Caenorhabditis elegans: one gene and its partners. The protein of the gene in region 4 interacts with the protein of the main gene of each other region in a biochemical or structural test. Each region holds a gene or a part of one and is shown on either strand. Other genes may lie near its edges.

Region 1 (5,272 bases), on a different chromosome or scaffold from region 4:
GTACATTAAGCTTCGTCGTAATGGCATCGACATGGAAACGTACGCATTGTATGGACAAGGAACTCCACTATCAGGATCATCTGGAATTGATCCTGGAATTCGTCGATTCTTGCAGTTGCTCGAGTTTTTGTTGAAAGAGCTCAAGGTTTGTGGGAAAATATGTTGCCGTTCGGAGTTGGTTAAAAAATTGGGAGTTTTCTTGAAATCGATCTCTGTACAGAATAAAAAAGACATATCCATCAAAAATAAGTATTGTGAATTTATTTTCGTATTACCCATTTGCAAAAGTTTATGCGATTTCTGCTTCAAAAATACAAAAATAGACAGATTTTCTGAACTTCAAAAAAATCGTGCACCTTTAAGGCCTACTGTAGTTCCCAACTCCCATTTTTCAACCGATTTACGTTAAAAAGGTATAAAACCAACCCAAATCTGAAAGAAACTAGTGAAAAAGAGTGATTTTTCCTAGTTTTCCGCCCGTTTCTACGAAATTTGGCGTGTTTTTACATGTTTTTTAATAAATTTTATTTAAATAATTGGGTGAACACTTGAGGAGTTGGGAAATACCGTAGGCCTTAAAGGCGCACGATCCCTTATGAGTTTGAGTAAATCGGGTTTTTTAAAGTATTTTTGGAGCAAAACTGTAAAATTTCACATCTCGTTAAGAATGGATTTACAATATTCATTTTCCGGTATAAAGATCGATTTTATAATTTTTTGGTTTCAGAAACACCCTAATTTTTATACATTTTTCAGGATCGAAACAAAAATTTCAAACCACCATATCAAATTCATGCTGATTCACTGGTTGACAATGGTGTCAAATACAATGCAGTTATGACACTCAACACAGATGTTCGATGGACTCGTGCAATGGCTCTAATGCTCACAGATCTCAAAGCTGCGTGTGCTCAATGCGATGCTCTCAGATCGCCTATTTAGTGATTTCACGGGATCAAATGTAGAATAACATTTTCAACGCTAGAAATTTTTTTTTCAATTTCTCAGGGACGCTTCTTTAAAAAATATTCAATTTTCATTGTGATTTCTAGTTTTTTTTTTCAAATTTTCTGCTGGAATTCTGCCTTTTCCCCAAACTTGTACCATATGTAAATATATTAAAAGTAAAGATTTTTATTGCAGTCTTGTGGAGGAAATTTTGTTATTTTTTGTTGATTGGTTTTGAAACCAATTCTGTTATCTAAAATTTGAATTTTTCCTAATTTATTTTCTCTTTCTTGTTGCTTTACTTGGTTTAATGATTATTAAAATTTTCTGAAACTGTGAAATCAAGTTCCTACCACTAAACTTATTTTAATCTGATTTTACTAATATTGCCTCAAAATTTTCGAAAAATGTATAACTGAAAATATCGAAAAATAAGGTCCAAATTTTGCTAAATTCTGGATTTTTTTAAAGCTAAAACACCGTTTTTTTTTTATTTTCGACCAAAATGTGTGGAAAATTTGAATGTTTTTTCGATTTTTCCAGTCATAAACGTTTTTGAAATTATTTAAATAAATATCACTATGAAATTCGGCACTTTTGTGCCAGATTTAGTTTTTTTTAAGCGAAAACCTCCCACAAACTATATTCCTCCTTTAATTAAATTTGAAAAAAAATACTGTAGGTTTTTGTAGACAATACAATTCCCCAAAAACGAAGTTTCTAGTTTTTTCTAGAATAGTTCTTGTAATTCCGAAAATTCCCGTTTTCTGAATTCTAGAAAAAAAATTGTTGTAACTCAAAATATTGCAGAGAAGGCCTCGTGTCGTCGTTCACGCGTTTCTCCTCCGTCGATCGGACTCTGGTCACTCAGCCGCGAGTCCGTGTCCGAATATTGTTGAGAGAAGTGTTCCACTCATTCTCACAGGATCTATCATAATCCAGTCAGTCGATGGGCGGTTCATCACGCCGTCAGCGAAGTACGTCGGCGACGAGACGAGACGATAAACGAAGACGAAGACAGTGCTTCTCTTCGGTAGCCGACGACGAAGAAGAGACGACGTCAATTTATGGAGTGTCGGTTAGTTTTTTTTTTGTTGGTTTTATCAAGTAAAAAGACCTGAAGAATATCATCATTTCACGGGAGAGCATGACTTTTCGTATCACTTTTCCAGTCAACTCTTGCAATTCTGATTCAATATTACTTGCATTTACAATTTTTGTTTTCTTCATGTTCTAAATCCAACTTTAACTAAGATTTGTAGATTTTTTCCCAAGATTTTTGGCTCAAAATTCCAGCTTTAACCTTAAACATGGCTTTTCTCTTCACGGATTACTTAATTTCTTCAGAAACAAGAAAAAAAACTAAAAGAATAACCAAGATCTGAGTGGAGCCTATTTTTAGCTTTTTTAAGCTTTTTCATCATCTACCTATATATTATTCTTGGAAGTTTCTATTAATTCGAGTAGACTAAAATAGGGAAAATACACCACAATTGAGAGTCGAGTTTTCAAAAATATGATTTTTCAAGTTCAAATTCAAACATTTTTTCTTATTTACACCCGGTTATAGATCATTTCTCAAAGACCGCGTAACATATTTACTTTGAACAGCTTTTCCTTCCCAAACTCCATATCAGACCACCTTCTCCTCTTATCACTTCAGTCACATCACTCTCGTTATCTAGGTCTCCCGCATTGTTACGTGTTAATCCCAACTATCTCATGTAGAATGTCACAGTTGCCTCGTTGTCTGAAACTATTCACGGCTCATTCTGTCTCTCTCTCTCTCTCTCTGTTGCAATAATGATGCCGGAACGACTATGTTCGTAAATGCCAGAGGACGAAGTCGAAGTCCTCTGAAAAGTAGAATTTCAAAAATTCAAGAAAACAATGGAAAGCGTGATCTTTGTATTTCAGAGCCGCTAAGAAGACCGTTCCCTTCCGAAATCCTTCTTCCGCCAGATCATCAGATTTTCAGATATTTTCCAATCTCTTCAATCTTAAACTTAGCCTAAAATATTACTGTCTGTACATTGTCCTCCATATATGTATATTATACAAACATCTTGCCGGAGTCGCTCCAAAATCGCAAACCCCCGATTGCCTATATGCCAGCTTGATAGCAGCATTACCATCCTGATAGACACCCCACGAGGCTCTTGATTTTTCGAACTTTTTCTGCTACGCCGACAGCGACTATCAACAACGGTTTTCCACCACCACGTACAATGTTTGATCAAACCGTTTGATTAAATTGACGCTCTCGGTGCAAGATGATATCATCTGGAAATGAGACGTTTAAAACCGAAAAAATGACTTGAATCATATCTGTGGTCTGATTGTGAATGGGTGCGGTTGACATGGTTAGTTGGGTTTTTGCACGCAATGGATCAAGGAATTGGTATAAGTTGAAATTCGGATCACAGCTTTCGATTTGTAAAAATTGAAAGTATGATTATTTATTGACAGAATATGAGTAGAAGCTTTCTTCTACTATATTCTAATTGAATTGCAATGTATTTGACATGCTGAACCTATTCGTTTTCACGGTTGAGGTCAAGAAATATAATTCTGAACATCACGTTCTACGAGAATTCATAAACAGCCAAATATGATGTCAAACTCACAGTACACTCAAACAGAAAGATTGAGTTCTTTGAGTTCCGACGGAACTACTATATTCTAAATTTCGCGATTTTTGATCATAATATCCTGAAATAAACAGGATATGTTCTGATTAATTGAGATTTTCAACCAAATATCAGACTATTATGCGCTTGTTTTTATTTTTGTTGTAGTAATAATAAAAATAAAAACACGTGGTTTGTAGCAGGTTTAGTATCATAATTATTTTTAGCCAAGATTTCGAAGAATTCTGATCACATATCAACAGGGAAGAAGGTGTGTGGATAATTCAATTTTCCCATGCATGTCTGACGCAGGTGGTTTGAATAATTCAGTTGTAGCTCAATTGTAGATGTATCCGATTTCCGTGTGCACCCAAACCTCTCTTTTTTAGAATATCGAAAATCTTTTCTTTTTCTCGTCAAGTGATATCTTTTGCATCTCTCATATATTTCTTATCAGTCTTGGCACAAACTTCAAACTGATATGCTTTATTTTTGAATTTTTGGTTCCTTTCCAAAAAAAAACTTGGATTTTTGGAAACGTGAAAACCAGCACGCATTTTGAAATTAGGCGTTGAGAAGAAATTAAATCAAAACAAATTTTTTATTCTCAGCAGTACCACCAAGCATTAAGTTTATTGAATAATTGTTTTAAACTGTTCTCTCGGTTTCGTGAGTTTCAGTTTCAATCGTTTTTCAAAGTATTCTGTACTAGACTTGTAACTTTTTTCGAAAAATATATCAACTTTTTGAATCAAAAATTAATGTTAAAATGTAGGAAAATGCTCGTTCGGTTTGAAAAAAAAATTTTTTTTGAAAACTTTTTAAAAGACGGCACAATTGAAAGTCTTTTTCAAACTTTTCCAACAAAAATACATATCATTTTCAGATTGAGCGAGCATTTTCCTACATTTTTATATTCATTTTTGTACGTTTGCCGAAATATTTTTCCGCACAGTCCTGCTCTGTACTACTTCTGTGTGGATTCATCAGAATTTAAGGGCAACGTGCTATGAAAAATTGCATCAACATCCACACACACATTCTCCAGATCTTCGGTTTTTCACCTCCCACCGTCTACTACCTGCCTGCAACAATTCGGTCGCACTCGCCCTCTCGCTACAACATTCACCTGCCGTTGTGTAGTCGTTTTGTAGTCGTCGTCTTTGGTGCAAGCGGCGAGCGACAATGCTGGTCTTATCAGCTTTCGTTGACTTCGTTACGGCCCCCACAGCAGCCTTCTCTTCTAGTTTTTCATTTAATTGGTCAATTTTCTGCGCACGTTAATTTACCGCGCACCAAGATTTCGGATCAAAAAGTTGCGATTTTCGATCTCCACAAGTCTGTGTCTATCTGTGTTCAGGCAAATAGACACGGCGGTCACAAAATTTTTTTACCTCTGCGTCTTCCCATTGGACATGCGCTTTCCAGCATTCTCTCGTACACCCTGCGTGTCTACAGTTTCAGCCATCTCTCCTCGTCTTGTGATCTACTCTATCGGCGCGCTCTCTCGTATTTGTCATCATTTCCATGGCGGCAAGTTAGCACAAATCGTAGAGAACTTAGAGAAATAAGGACACCGAGTGCACTGTTTCGATGGTTTTCTTTCGTTGTCTCTGGAAATCGCCTTTCTTTCTGTTTTTTGACGCCATTTTTCACTTGGTAACCTCAACACGACAACTAACTTCTTGTGTTTA
Region 2 (3,780 bases), on a different chromosome or scaffold from region 4:
TTTGCACAACGAACTGAAACAATGGAGTTCACAGGAGAACGATATTGTGGCGGCTGCGAAGAGAATGGCCATTCTGATGGCTAGACTATCACAGTTGGTTAGAGGTGAAGGTGGAACTAAGAAAGTAAGTTTTGTAGAGAAGAAGATAGTGATCTTAATGTTAAATTTAAAGGATCTCATCAATTGCTCCAAGGCAATCGCAGATTCTTCTGAAGAAGTTACCAGATTGGCAGTTCAACTTGCCAGACTTTGCACAGATATCAAGATGAGAACGGTGAGCATTTAGTTCATTCTATCTAAAGATTTAAAATTTATTTTCATTTTCAGGCACTCCTTCAAGTCTCAGAAAGAATTCCAACGATAGCTACACAATTGAAGGTCTTGTCAACAGTCAAGGCGACAATGCTCGGATCAGCCAGTGAGTTGGAAATTTATTTTTTCGTTGTTGAAATTATTTTAATTATTTTCAAATTTGATTTAAATTATCAGAACCCATTTCAGATGTCATCGGCCCATACGGTCAACCAGTCGAGGGTAAATAATTGATTTTCAAGAGTTTCGGAAACTAATTGTGTGATTGAATTTGAAGTTTTTGTCCCATTTTAATACAACTTAACAATTCTCGCGTGAATTTGAAAATTGAACGACAACATAAAACATCGAGTGCCTTAACCTTCCGATTCCCTTGATTCTCCTAATATTTCCGTTTTTCTACTCTTTAAAATAATTTTCTTGAATTTCAGGCAGCGAAGAAGATGATGAAGCAATGCAACAATTGGTGCATAATGCTCAAAACTTGATGCAATCTGTGAAGGATGTTGTCCGTGCTGCTGAAGCCGCCTCTATTAAAATCCGTACCAACTCGGGACTTCGTCTCCGTTGGCTCCGAAAGCCAATGTGGTCCAACTTCTAAATCCCCGTTCATTACCGATTCTCTTTCTTCTCAATCAATGTTTTGCATATTTTATGTATTTTTCTACTGCTTTGCTAGTCATTTAAATTTTTTGCATAATAATTTTTTTTCATTCTTAATAATGTTACTTTTCAGTTTGAAATTGCTCCAAATCTTCCACTCTCCTTTCCCCATGAATCCCTCGAAAAAGTGCCTTTTGCAACAAAAATACGTCTTTTCTACTCATTTACTGTCTACTGAAACTGCCTTTCGCTGGAATTATTCTTAAAAACTCCCCATATTTCCAATTTTTTCTTTCCAGTAGTTTTATCAGTAAATGGTCGTTTAATGTTTTTCAAAAGAAAAATTATCGAATTTGTGTAGAATGTAATTTTTATTTTTCAATTTCTTTTTTTTAGTCGCCTTTGTTTCTCCTTGAAATATTGAACAATATCGATTTTTTGTGAATAAAAACATTTAAACCACTAAAAAATTTCTTGATTTTGGTCTTAAACTACGAAAATGGAACACAAAATCTGAATATACACGAACTTCTTCGATAGGATCAAGAAAAATAGAAATAACATTTTCAGCATATTAAAAATAATTTTTTATAGTTTAATTTATTAAAATTTTTCATTGAATGTACTGATAACGAAACAAAATTCATCGAAATCGTGTCGCAGCATAAATAAAATTGTTCGTTGGAGAGGAGTTCACGACAGAGAGTGCGACAGGGCACGCTTTCTTGCGTCCAAGGGACAGCCAGTTGTACAGCTGCCAGGTCTCGCAGCGAAATTGATTTTAGGCCAGACGCAAGGAAATTTTTAGAGAGATTTTTCCTATTTCTCCTGTTCTCAACGCAAAATTTTTTAATTTTTTCATATTTTAATGAAATAACGATGTTAAATATCATTTTTGAGCGATAGTTGTGCTATGTAGTTAATCTGTTCCATTTTATGCTTACTCTCACTATTTTTATCATTACATTTTCGTGATTTCTCATTTTAAAGTTCAAAATTCCAGCTTGAGGTACACACTTGAAAAATGAGAGGACCAAAGAAGCATCTTAAGCGTCTCGCTGCTCCAAGCCATTGGATGCTCGACAAACTCGGAGGAGTCTTCGCTGTTCGTCCAAACCCAGGACCACACAAGCTCCGCGAGTCCCTTCCACTCAGCTTGTTCCTCCGTAACCGTCTGAAGTACGCTCTCAACTACACCGAGGCCAAGAAGATTCTCACCCAGAGAGTTGTCCGCGTCGACGGAAAGGTCAGAACCTGCCACAAGTTCCCAACCGGATTCATGGGTAATTATAATTTGTATTCTTTCTAGTTTTGTATTCGCGTTTTCAGATGTCGTTGCCATCGAGCGTACCAACGAGTATTTCCGTATGCTCTACGATACCAAGGGAAGATACGTCGTCCACAGAATCCAAGCTGCCGAGGCCGACTTCAAGCTCTGCAAGGTCAAGTCTGTCCGCACCGTCAACAAGGGAGTTCCAGTCCTCACCACCACTGACGGACGCACCATCCGCTACCCAGACCCACATGTCAAGGTTAACGACACCATTGTTTTCAACATCAGCACCCAGAAGATCACCGACTCCGTCAAGTTCGAGCCAGGAAATTTGGCCTACGTCACTGGAGGACGTAACGTTGGTCGTGTCGGAATTATCGGACATCGTGAGCGTCTCCCAGGAGCATCTGACATCATCCACATCAAGGATTCTGCTGGACACTCCTTCGCCACTCGGTAAGTTTGCCTAAAAGGCTAAAGGAGAATGAAGGTCGGGGGCCGCGAGGGTCGTAAAAGTCCGGCTAAGGTTGGTTGCTAATTCAAATTTTTCTTTTCAGTATCTCCAACGTCTTCGTCATTGGAAAGGGAAACAAGGCTCTCGTCTCCCTCCCAACTGGAGCTGGAATCCGTCTCTCAATCGCCGAAGAGCGTGACAAGCGTATGGCCCAGAAGCACTAAACTGTTGTTTTTGTTGAAAAATAAAATTGTTAATCTAAAAAACGACTTAATCTTCAAAAGGGAAATTGTTTTAGCAAACCTATCGCTTTGAGATATGAGACTAGTCTTAAAGTTTGCATTTTTGGATATGGGTCATCTTGATATTTGGAAGTCTTTGTCCGGTGTTCTCTGTGTTTATAAGCACTCGGGAATTTCCTCCGCTGGGTTGATCAAGCTGATTACTCGTAAGATCGCCGAATCTGTCTCTGATATTGAATCTACTTCTCGAATTCAACTTCCTCTGATCTCCATCCCAGTCATCGAAGCTCATGAAAAGTCAGGCGCTCTAGTAGTCGTCGGCCGGAATGAAGTGGCTGATTACAGGTAGTCGTAATTTAAAATATATCAAAGTTAGAGCAATAACTTGATTTTGGAAAATTTAACATATTTTAGCCAAAAATTTGGTTATTCACAAGATCTGCATAAAAACGAGAAGAATGTTCTGTTATTTTCAGATATCATCCACTTGTGTCTGGCAGATCAATCAGACAAGAGGACATTCAATTGGTAGACGTACTACCGTTGGCCACAAATAGTTCTGGAGTCTGCTGTAAGGTAGAATTAATAATTTTCAAAACAAATTGATATTTTCAGTGTTCGGTGTCAATGATGGTTGTGAAAGTATTCCAGAACTCATGTCAAAGTCATGGACAAATGTGTATCGAATCGATGGAATTATAAAAAAGTCGGAAAATATAGACGTTTCGAAAATTTCAAAGCATCGAATTGAGAAAGTTTTGTCACGCTTGGAATCTGAATTTCGTAGTGCCTCATTTCGTCATGCCAATGTAGATATGGAGGTGATTATTCGAGATTCTTGTATAAATATATAAAAAAAGTTATTTAAGAGTTCAGAAGCATTTGAATTAGCTCGT
Region 3 (4,066 bases), on a different chromosome or scaffold from region 4:
AATTGAAAAATTCATTAAAAATAATTTTACAGTTATATTCGATCATTTTCTATAACTTAAAGCAAAATCCTTAATCGGTCCTCACAGCACATTTAAAATGTGATTCTACAGGTTCGAAGATACGGCACAACCCAAAGTCAATCTTCACCAGTTACACCATGTTCATATACAATTTACCAAGTTCAAACCGATGATACACTTGAAAGAATAGCATTAAAGCATAATTGTTCGGTTGGTTCCATTTGTTTCTCCTTATCTGTTGTTCATGTACGATTTCAGGTTTCATCTCTCGTTCGTGCAAACAAGCTTTGGTCTCCCAGCGCCTTGTTCATGAAGCAATTCATTAGAATACCCATTTTCAATTCACAACAACCTAATCTCAAACCATCTTTGCAAGAAACTCAATGCAAAATTGTGCCTGCCACTACTGAACGGGTCGACAGTAGCCGAGAAGAAAAATCTATGAAAGATATTTTACAGCGCATAGATCGGAACATCAAATCGTTTCGGAAATGTGATAACCCTAGCAGCTCAGCTTATGATCATATTTAAATTATTTTTGAAATAAATCTGTTGTCAAAGTAAATCGTTCTGGAAATTTAAACAATGCGTTCAACAAATTAAATCGGTTATTAACAAAAAAGTTTATCAACAACAGAATACTTATTTCTTCACGTTGGCCTTTGAAGCCTTGCGGAGGATAGAAGCATATGGGTTCAACTTGTACAAGAGGGTTCTCTTCTTGAGTGGGTTGCGGTGGACCTTTGGAAGCACTGGGTTCTTCTTTGGAGCTCTGATAGCCTTAACGACCTCTTCGGAACGGATGATGCGGGAGAAGTCGGAGTTGGCCATGATTGGGAGTGGGACAGACCATCCCTTCTTGAGTTGAGAAGAGTTGGCAACGGTGGTTCCGTAGATGGTATCAAGCTTCTTGAAGGCAGACTCGGTCCAGATGATAAGACGTCCGAGATGTCCTCCTGGGGCGAGCTTGAGAAGGTTGAGTCTCTCAACATTCATGACATCGACTCCTGGGATGTTGCGGAAGGCACGAGCGCACTCAGCATCTTGTCCGTAGATAACAACTGGTCCGAGCTTCTGCTTGTGTTGACGGTTGCGGAGCTTTCCCTTTCCGGCGCGGTTTCTCTTCGAGTTGTAAACCTTAAAACTGTTACGTTAAAAACAAATTTAATTTTTTTAAATGGTATACCTTCTCGATATCAGCCCACAAGTGGGAGCGACGGAGGAAGACGACGGCCTCCTTGGTCTTGCGGAAGCTTTCGACCTTGTCGGAAACAACAAGTGGGACCTCAGCGACCTAAAAAATAGTACTGTAAATAGGAACAAAACTTTTAAAAAAGTTTACTTACTTGATCGATGACGTGTCCACGAGCTTGGAGAAGAGCTGGGATTCCGGAGGCAGCAATAGCTGAGGAAACAGCGTATCTCTTCTGGGCAATGTTGACGTTGCGGTGCCAGCGGCGGAACACCTTGAGTGGGGCGAACATGTGTCCTCCACGGCACATATTTCCGAAAGCTCCCTGTCCGGAACGGTGGGTACCTCCTCCGCGAACACGTGGAATACGGGCAACGGCACGTCCAGTTCCCCAGGACTCAGCAGAGTGTTGCTTTCCTGAAATAAATAGTAATTGAGGAACACAGAAGTTAGTTTGAAATTAAAATAATCAATAACCGAATCTAATTATGTCACTTACCGGCCTTGGTGTTAACGGCATGGGCCTGTCTTCTGTTTCTGCGGACCTGATCGGCGATGAAGCTCACCAAGTCTGGGCGGATTGGAGTACGGAAAACGGCTGGGAGCCGGATTTGAGATTGAGTGGCCTCGTACTTTTCATCGTACACAGTCACGAGCGGTCTGGCCGCCATTATTACCTGCAATCAACAGAAATAGTAAAAAATAGATTAATTTTAAAAGAAAATGATTCAAAAAATGCGAGAAGAGTAAAGAAAAAATGATGATATTTTAGGCAATATTCAGATTTTTCGACCGAAACAGGCTTAGGATATTCAAAACCTTATTTTAATACATTCCAAATGTGAAAATATCACCGAAAATCTTTTTTATATTGAAAAAACGAAAAAAGTTCCTAAAAAATTTCAGAAAACAGGGAAATCGTGTTTAAAGGGAGGCAAAAATTAGGGTATTGGCTGAGTATCCAACGTCGGGGTCTCGCCGCGATGAGACGAAATGTCGGCAGGCAACTTGTGTCAATTTACGAGGGCGCGGTATCCGCTGATTTCAAACCCGATCCTTCCATTTTCTTGCTTAAAAACGTTTTCAAATAGTTTAATTGTGTTTTTACTTGTTTCAATACATAAGTGTTTGGGATAGATGCTGTCTTCTACATCAACATTCTTTCCTCTCGTGAAAATCGACTACAAGCGAATGGAATTATTGCGGAAAGCGGCACAGATGAAAAATTTCCGTGTAAATGAGGATACGCTGAGAAAATTGAACGACGTTGAAACAGTTGGTATGTGTTTTACAATAATATGTTTTGTTAAATAATTGAGTTTTCAGGTGAGATAATTTCCACAACACCGTCGACATCGTCAGTTGAATCATCAGGATTTCGAAGAAATGCGAAAAGAAAAATGGACGATGATTCGAACACCAGTATGTTTTCAGAAGAACAATGCTCTCATTGTGGATGCCGAATGCTTCGAGTTGTTGATCCAGGACGTCCCGATCGTATGATGGTTCTGGAGTGTATGCGCTCAAATTGTCTGGCATCTGTGAAACTTACTGATCTTCCAGTTGGGACGGTCATTGGAAAGGAAATTAGTTTGGTAAGTTGATAATTTATTTTGAAATTAAAAACAATCATTTTATTTTCAGACTCCGAAATCCGCCTACAACACTCTAGCTCGCTACTATCCCAAAAACCGTTACACTCCGGAATTGGATTCATTCGATCAGGAACAACATGGAAAGCGTAAAGCGAATGTCAAGATTTTTGAGTCATCTGCAAGAGGAATATTCATTGATGTTCCAGGACAAGACACCAAAGCTCGCTTTGTGGCATAATTTTAATATTAATCGTTAAATTACTAGTAATATGCCGGGTTGATCACAAAACCAAAAAGCCAACGCTGTATTAATTTTCACTTCCGATTTACTGAACGATCTGAATTGTCTGATAAATATCAAGTTTATAAAAGTAACATAAAACGATATTTCTTCAAACATTTATTTTTCCCGAATTTAATACAGTGCAAAAAAAATTAAATATGACTAGTTGATCAGAGGGGAGTGTGTCACAACCTTCGAATGCCTATAAAGCGACCAGTAGAACAAGAGAAAATAGAGATTCTGAGAGAGTTTAAACAATGTTTCTAAGAGAGATGCTACTCGTCCGATAGACTATCCATAAGATGTTCATTGTCCGGCGATAATGATTCCACTTTTCGTACTCGTTTTGAAAGCCCTTTTCGTATTGAAGTTGACGGATTTTGTGCATATGCAGCGCCAACGAATGCCACGAGGATCGGAATCGATGCAATAACTTGTGCCAGTGTTGGAGCTTTGCTTCGAATCACTGTATCGGCGAGGAATGACAGAGGAATGCTTACAGTCATTGATAGGCAGGTGGTGAGAGAATCACACATTCCAGCGGCAAGAAGCCAAAGGTAATCAGCGACAATTGTTCCTGAAATTAAAAAAAAAATTAATATTAAAAATACTCATTAATACAATAAATCTCACCAATGAGCGCAGAAAATAAAATTGACGAGAACTGTGTAGCATTTGGAAGTGGATGTAATGGTTCTACACCAAATCTATCCAACAAATTTAATGTAGGTGTTCCAAGAACCAAAGCGATGACTCCGATTGCTCCAAACATCAAATTAATATCCAGTTTTCCATATTTTTCCTCAAAATGGCCAAATGCAAAAAGATAAACTGCATAAGCAAGAGCAGACATCTGAGCAAAAAGTGCTCCAAGAAATGATGGAATATAATGAGAAACGATAAGAACACCGGCAATGTTGATGGCCACTAGGAGACACTGAAAATGAAAAATTGTTGTGACAAGTTGTGAAAAGC
Region 4 (5,058 bases):
AGAAGCCCAGAAAGTTTTTCGTGTCTTTTTCCGTGTCGCGCAGGATTTCGATGATTTGGCAGCAGTGGAAATAGTTGATATCTGGAAAAAAAATCGAGTTTTTAGCTTAAAAACTGAATTTTTGGCAATTTTCAGGTCAAAAAAAAATAAATTGAATAAAAATCGATTTTTTGAAGATTTTTACGGCAAAAATAGCATTGTAATGCATTTTTCTAACTAAATTTGGCGAAAAATAATTTTAAAAAATGTTATTTTATCAGGTTTTTGCAGAAAAAAAGTTTGGCGCTGCTAATTCAATTTGGGGCGCTGCTAACACTACAAACTACAAGTTTTGGGCGCTGCTAATTCAATTTTGGGCGCTGCTAACACTACAAACTACAAGTTTTGGGCGCTGCTAATCCGGATTTCGAGCTGTTAATGGGAATTTTATCGAAATTTCTGCATTTTTTTCGTAAATTTCGGCACGAAAACTAAATTATAGTCGGTTTTCGCCGCAAAAATCACAATTTTATATGTTTTTCTGACTGTTTTTGGTGCAAAACTGAATTTTTGGCAATTTTTAAATTAAAAATTGAATAAAAATCGATTTTTTGAAGATTTTTACGGCAAAAATAGCATTGTAATGCATTTTCCTAACTAAATTTGGCGAAAAATAATTCAAAAAAATGTTATTTTATCAGGTTTTTGCAGAAAAAAAGTTTGGCGCTGCTAATTCAATTTTGGGCGCTGCTAACACTATAAACTACAAGTTTTGGGCGCTGCTAATCCAGATTTCGAGCTGTTAATGGGAATTTTATCGAAATTTCTGCATTTTTTTCGTAAATTTCGGCACGAAAACTAAATTATAGTCGGTTTTCACCGCAAAAATCACAATTTTATATGTTTTTCTGACTTTTTTGGGTGAAAAACTGAATTTTTGGCAATTTTTAGATTAAAAATTGAATAATTACGGCTTTTTTGACAGAAAAATTTATTATTTTTTCTATTTTAATGATTTTTCTCGCTAAATTTGGCGAAAAACGACTAAAAACTGTAATTTAATTGGATTTTTCTCAAAAAAATGGTTTGGCGCTGCTAACATTACAAACTACAAGTTTTGGGCGCTGCTAATTCAATTTTGGGCGCTGCTAAAACTACAAACTACAAGATTTGGGCGCTGCTAATTCAATTTTGGGCGCTGCTAAGACTACAAACTACAAGTTTTGGGCGCTGCTAATTCAATTTTGGGCGCTGCTAAAACTACAAACTACAAGATTTGGGCGCTGCTAATTCAATTTTGGGCGCTGCTAAAACTACAAACTACAAGATTTGGGCGCTGCTAATCCGGATTTCGAGCTGTTAATGGGACTGTTATTGAATTTTTTGCATTTTTCCGTAAATTTAAAAAGTAAAGGTAAAGGTTGTCCGTTTGGTTCAAGGGTGAGCCTAAGCCTCCTGCGGACAAGAGAGATTTTATTCGTTTTTCTGACTGTTTTTGGTGAAAAACTATTTTTTTTAATCAGATTTTTTGCAAAAAAAACTTGGTAGTCGAGCCTTTTTGTAGTTTTTTAACAATTTTTTGGTCTTTTTTGGGCAAAAAACCAACTAACACGCTCCTTGCAGCAGCTCCACGATTTTCGGCGACTCCGGCATGTCCAAAATGGCATGTTTGATCTTTTCTCGAATCGCCACCACGCTTTTTTGCCAATCTTTGTTGCAATGACGACGGGAAACCAGCCAATCTAAAGTTTTTGCGGTGTTTTTTGGGTTAAAATTAATGGATAACGAGTTACCAAGCAATTTACTGCTGTGAATATCGATTGGCAAGTCGTCTGACATGATTTTTTATCTGAAAAATTAAAATTTTAACTTAAAATTCAATTTTAAATTCAGAAATCTCCCAAAAAAAGAAGAAAATTTCGATGGAAAAATACACGTCAGCCACTGCGTAAATCGACACAAATTTAAAGGCGCATGCGGTTTCGTGTGTGTTGGGTCTCGCAACGCCCGCATTTTTAGGTGTTGATTTGAAATGAGTTTTCCTTTTTTTTTCGTCTTTTTCACTCGAATTTCATGATTTTCAGTTGATTTTCAATTGATTTTTTGGTTTTTTTTGCTGAAAATTAATTATTTTTTGATTAAAAAGCTTTTCGAACAAGAAAATACATGAATTTTGGCCCTAAAAGTGGATTTCAGAGCATGTGGATCTCACATTAATTAATTTAATAATTAACCTTTTTCCAGCGGGACAATGAGTACCGAAAACGGGAAGTCCGCAGATGCGCCGGTGGCGGCACCGGCTGCAAAAGAGTTGACCAGCAAGGACTACTACTTCGACTCGTACGCTCACTTCGGTATCCACGAGGAGATGCTCAAGGACGAGGTGCGAACCACCACCTACCGGAACTCGATCTATCATAACTCGCACTTGTTCAAAGACAAAGTTGTGATGGATGTTGGCTCGGGAACTGGAATTCTTTCCATGTTCGCCGCCAAGGCTGGAGCGAAGAAGGTTTTCGCGGTGAGTTTTTTTTGGATTTTTTGAACGGTTTTTAAAAATTTCCTTTTCCTTCAGATGGAATTCTCCAACATGGCGCTCACCTCCCGCAAAATAATCGCCGACAACAACCTGGACCACATCGTCGAGGTGATTCAGGCGAAGGTAGAGGACGTTCACGAGTTGCCAGGAGGCATTGAGAAGGTCGATATCATCATTTCCGAGTGGATGGGATACTGCTTGTTCTACGAGTCGATGCTCAACACTGTGCTCGTCGCCCGCGATAGATGGTTGGCTCCGAATGGAATGTTGTTCCCGGACAAGGCTCGTCTCTACGTCTGTGCTATCGAGGATCGTCAGTACAAGGAGGACAAGATCCACTGGTGGGATTCAGTCTACGGATTCAACATGTCCGCTATCAAGAACGTCGCGATCAAGGAGCCACTCGTCGATATCGTCGACAACGCTCAGGTCAACACCAACAATTGTCTGCTGAAGGACGTTGATTTGTACACCGTTAAAATCGAGGATCTCACGTTCAAATCGGACTTTAAGCTGAGATGCACTCGCAGCGACTATATTCAAGCTTTCGTCACCTTCTTCACCGTCGAGTTCTCCAAGTGCCACAAGAAAACCGGATTCTCGACTGGGCCAGATGTACAGTACACTCATTGGAAGCAGACCGTCTTTTATCTTAAAGTATGCGCTTAAAAATAACTTTTTTTCGGGTTAAATACCATTTTTCAACAGTTTTTCACCAAATTTAGTCAGTAAATGGTAAAAACTTCGATTTTTGGGCTGAAAATCGACCTTTTCACAGTTTTTGAAACAAAATTCGCCAAAAAATTAAGAAAACATGAATTAGCAGCCCCCAAAACTCGTAGTTTGTAGCTTAGCGGCGCCCAAAACTCGTAGTTTGTAGTTTAGCAGCGCCCAAATCTTGTAGTTTGTAGCTTAGCAGCGCCCAAAACTCGTAGTTTGTAGTCTAGCAGCGCCCACAATCGTAGTTTGTAGCTTAGCAGCGCCCAAATCTTGTAGTTTGTAGCTTAGCAGCGCCCAAAGCTCGTAGTTTGTAGCTTAGCAGCGCGCAAAACTCGTAGTTTGTAGTTTAGCAGCGCCCAAATCTTGTAGTTTGTAGCTTAGAAGCGCCCAAAACTCGTAGTTTGTAGTCTAGCAGCGCCCACAATCGTAGTTTGTAGCTTAGCAGCGCCCAAAATTAAATTAGCAGCGCCCAAATCTTGTAGTTTGTAGTCTAGCAGCGCCCAAAATCGTAGTTTGTAGCTTAGCAGCGCCCAAAACTAGTAGTTTGTAGTTTAGCAGCTCCCAAAAGCGAATTAGCAGCGCCCAAAAGCTTGTAGTTTGTAGTTTAGCAGCGCCCAAATCTTGTAATTTTGTAGTTTAGCAGCGCCCAAAACTAGTAGTTTGTAGTAGTCTTAAGTATTAAATTTGTGTTTTTTTAAAGATTTTTGCACGAATTTTGCACTTTTCTATCGATTTTTCGAGTAAAAACCGGATTTTCTGACTGAAACCGGGGTTTTTAGGCAAAAAGTTGTATTTTTCACTAATTTTCGTTAGCTAGAAAAACCCAGTTTTGTTTTAATAAAAAAGAAAAAAAATTGCAATTTTCACATCATCTTTGACTTCAAATTCGACACTTTCGATTCAAATTTTATTTTTTTTTTCAATTTTTCGATTTTTTCAGGACGCGCTCACAGTAAAGAAAGGCGAGGAAATAACCGGATCATTCGAGATGGCACCAAACAAGAACAACGAACGTGACTTGGATATCAACATTTCGTTCGATTTCAAGGGAGAAGTGTGTGATCTCAACGAGCAGAACACCTACACCATGCACTAATTTTTGCTGTTTTTTTTTTCGTCTTTTTTCTCACACTTTTTTGCCCCCAATTTTTACACTTTGTTGATCCCCCGTTGTTCCCCCCGAAACCTCCCGATTTCCGCAGATACTCGATTGTATATACCTCGATGCGGGTTGTTGTCGCGCACCTCCTCTATCCGCGCGCACGCTCACTCTGCTCGGTACTCCATTTGTTGACCTTTTTCCATAAAAAAAAATCTGCCAAAATTCAAGTTTTTTGCAATTTTTAAGCGATTTTATAATTTATAGGTTACGCAGCCTTTAGATATATTTTTAATATTCAATCAATAGTGAGCAGCGCCAAAAGAAAAACCGAAAAATTATTTTTAAAAAAGTTTAGCACAAAAAAAATGGAAGACGGCGATGAAGTGGTGGAGCCTATCGAGCCGGAATCCGAAGACATTGTGAATCTCACAAAACGACTAGGAGTGGATCTCGTGCTGGAATCCAATGATGACTGGAAAATCCAGGAAATCGGATTTGACGGTGTGGAGAGGTACCTGCAGCCCGAGACGTTCACTGATCATGTTGGAAAATTGGCTCGGAAGGTGGAATGGACGAAGCTAGTGGGCACAAAATCGCCTTATGAAAATTCGAAGGTTGATCCCGAAGATGAACTCGATGATGAGGTAGAAGCCGGCGAAAATCAAGAAAAATCGAATAATTTTCGGGAAAAAGTCAGAAAATCATCGATTTTCAGGCT

The links.
Region 1: of the proteins of prmt-1 (region 4) and skn-1, one has a biochemical effect on the other in vitro, tested with the Caenorhabditis elegans proteins (one study listed by BioGRID).
Region 2: of the proteins of prmt-1 (region 4) and rps-4, one has a biochemical effect on the other in vitro, tested with the Caenorhabditis elegans proteins (one study listed by BioGRID).
Region 3: of the proteins of prmt-1 (region 4) and rpl-4, one has a biochemical effect on the other in vitro, tested with the Caenorhabditis elegans proteins (one study listed by BioGRID).

What each region holds. Positions count from the first base shown.
Region 1 is NC_003282.8:5,657,010-5,662,281, reverse strand, and holds the start of skn-1 (Protein skinhead-1), read left to right. Parts: upstream 1-1,897; coding exon 1,898-2,026; intron 2,027-4,716; exon of another isoform or gene 4,717-4,866; intron 4,867-4,911; exon of another isoform or gene 4,912-4,964; intron 4,965-5,272. Other genes in the region: bec-1 (Beclin homolog), read left to right, coding at 1-145, 757-942. UniProt on the Caenorhabditis elegans protein: Transcription factor. Required to specify the fate of ventral blastomeres in the early embryo, and postembryonically for the development of the intestine. Directly regulates expression of zygotically expressed med-1 and med-2 to direct mesendoderm development.
Region 2 is NC_003282.8:7,082,821-7,086,600, reverse strand, and holds rps-4 (Small ribosomal subunit protein eS4), read left to right. Parts: upstream 1-1,918; 5' UTR 1,919-1,939; coding exon 1,940-2,198; intron 2,199-2,244; coding exon 2,245-2,644; intron 2,645-2,670; exon of another isoform or gene 2,671-2,729; intron 2,730-2,745; coding exon 2,746-2,866; 3' UTR 2,867-2,905; downstream 2,906-3,780. Other genes in the region: deb-1 (Vinculin), read left to right, coding at 1-124, 173-274, 328-418, 502-534, 744-913; Y43B11AR.3 (TruB_N domain-containing protein), read left to right, coding at 2,994-3,229, 3,361-3,455, 3,500-3,705, 3,754-3,780.
Region 3 is NC_003279.8:4,645,074-4,649,139, forward strand, and holds rpl-4 (Large ribosomal subunit protein uL4), read right to left. Parts: upstream 1,891-4,066; 5' UTR 1,885-1,890; coding exon 1,713-1,884; intron 1,707-1,712; exon of another isoform or gene 1,653-1,706; intron 1,631-1,652; coding exon 1,368-1,630; intron 1,316-1,367; coding exon 1,208-1,315; intron 1,159-1,207; coding exon 664-1,158; 3' UTR 589-663; downstream 1-588. Other genes in the region: lmd-2 (LysM domain-containing protein), read left to right, coding at 112-231, 280-552; B0041.8 (Plus3 domain-containing protein), read left to right, coding at 2,351-2,492, 2,540-2,808, 2,858-3,046; B0041.5 (Solute carrier family 35 member F5), read right to left, coding at 3,367-3,668, 3,725-4,028.
Region 4 is NC_003283.11:20,266,877-20,271,934, reverse strand, and holds prmt-1 (Protein arginine N-methyltransferase 1), read left to right. Parts: upstream 1-2,223; 5' UTR 2,224-2,230; coding exon 2,231-2,500; intron 2,501-2,554; coding exon 2,555-3,175; intron 3,176-4,178; coding exon 4,179-4,334; 3' UTR 4,335-4,558; downstream 4,559-5,058. Other genes in the region: cdkr-3 (CDK5RAP3 protein homolog), read right to left, coding at 1-81, 1,590-1,721, 1,773-1,818; mdt-17 (Mediator of RNA polymerase II transcription subunit 17), read left to right, coding at 4,706-4,984. UniProt on the Caenorhabditis elegans protein: Arginine methyltransferase that methylates (mono and asymmetric dimethylation) the guanidino nitrogens of arginyl residues present in target proteins.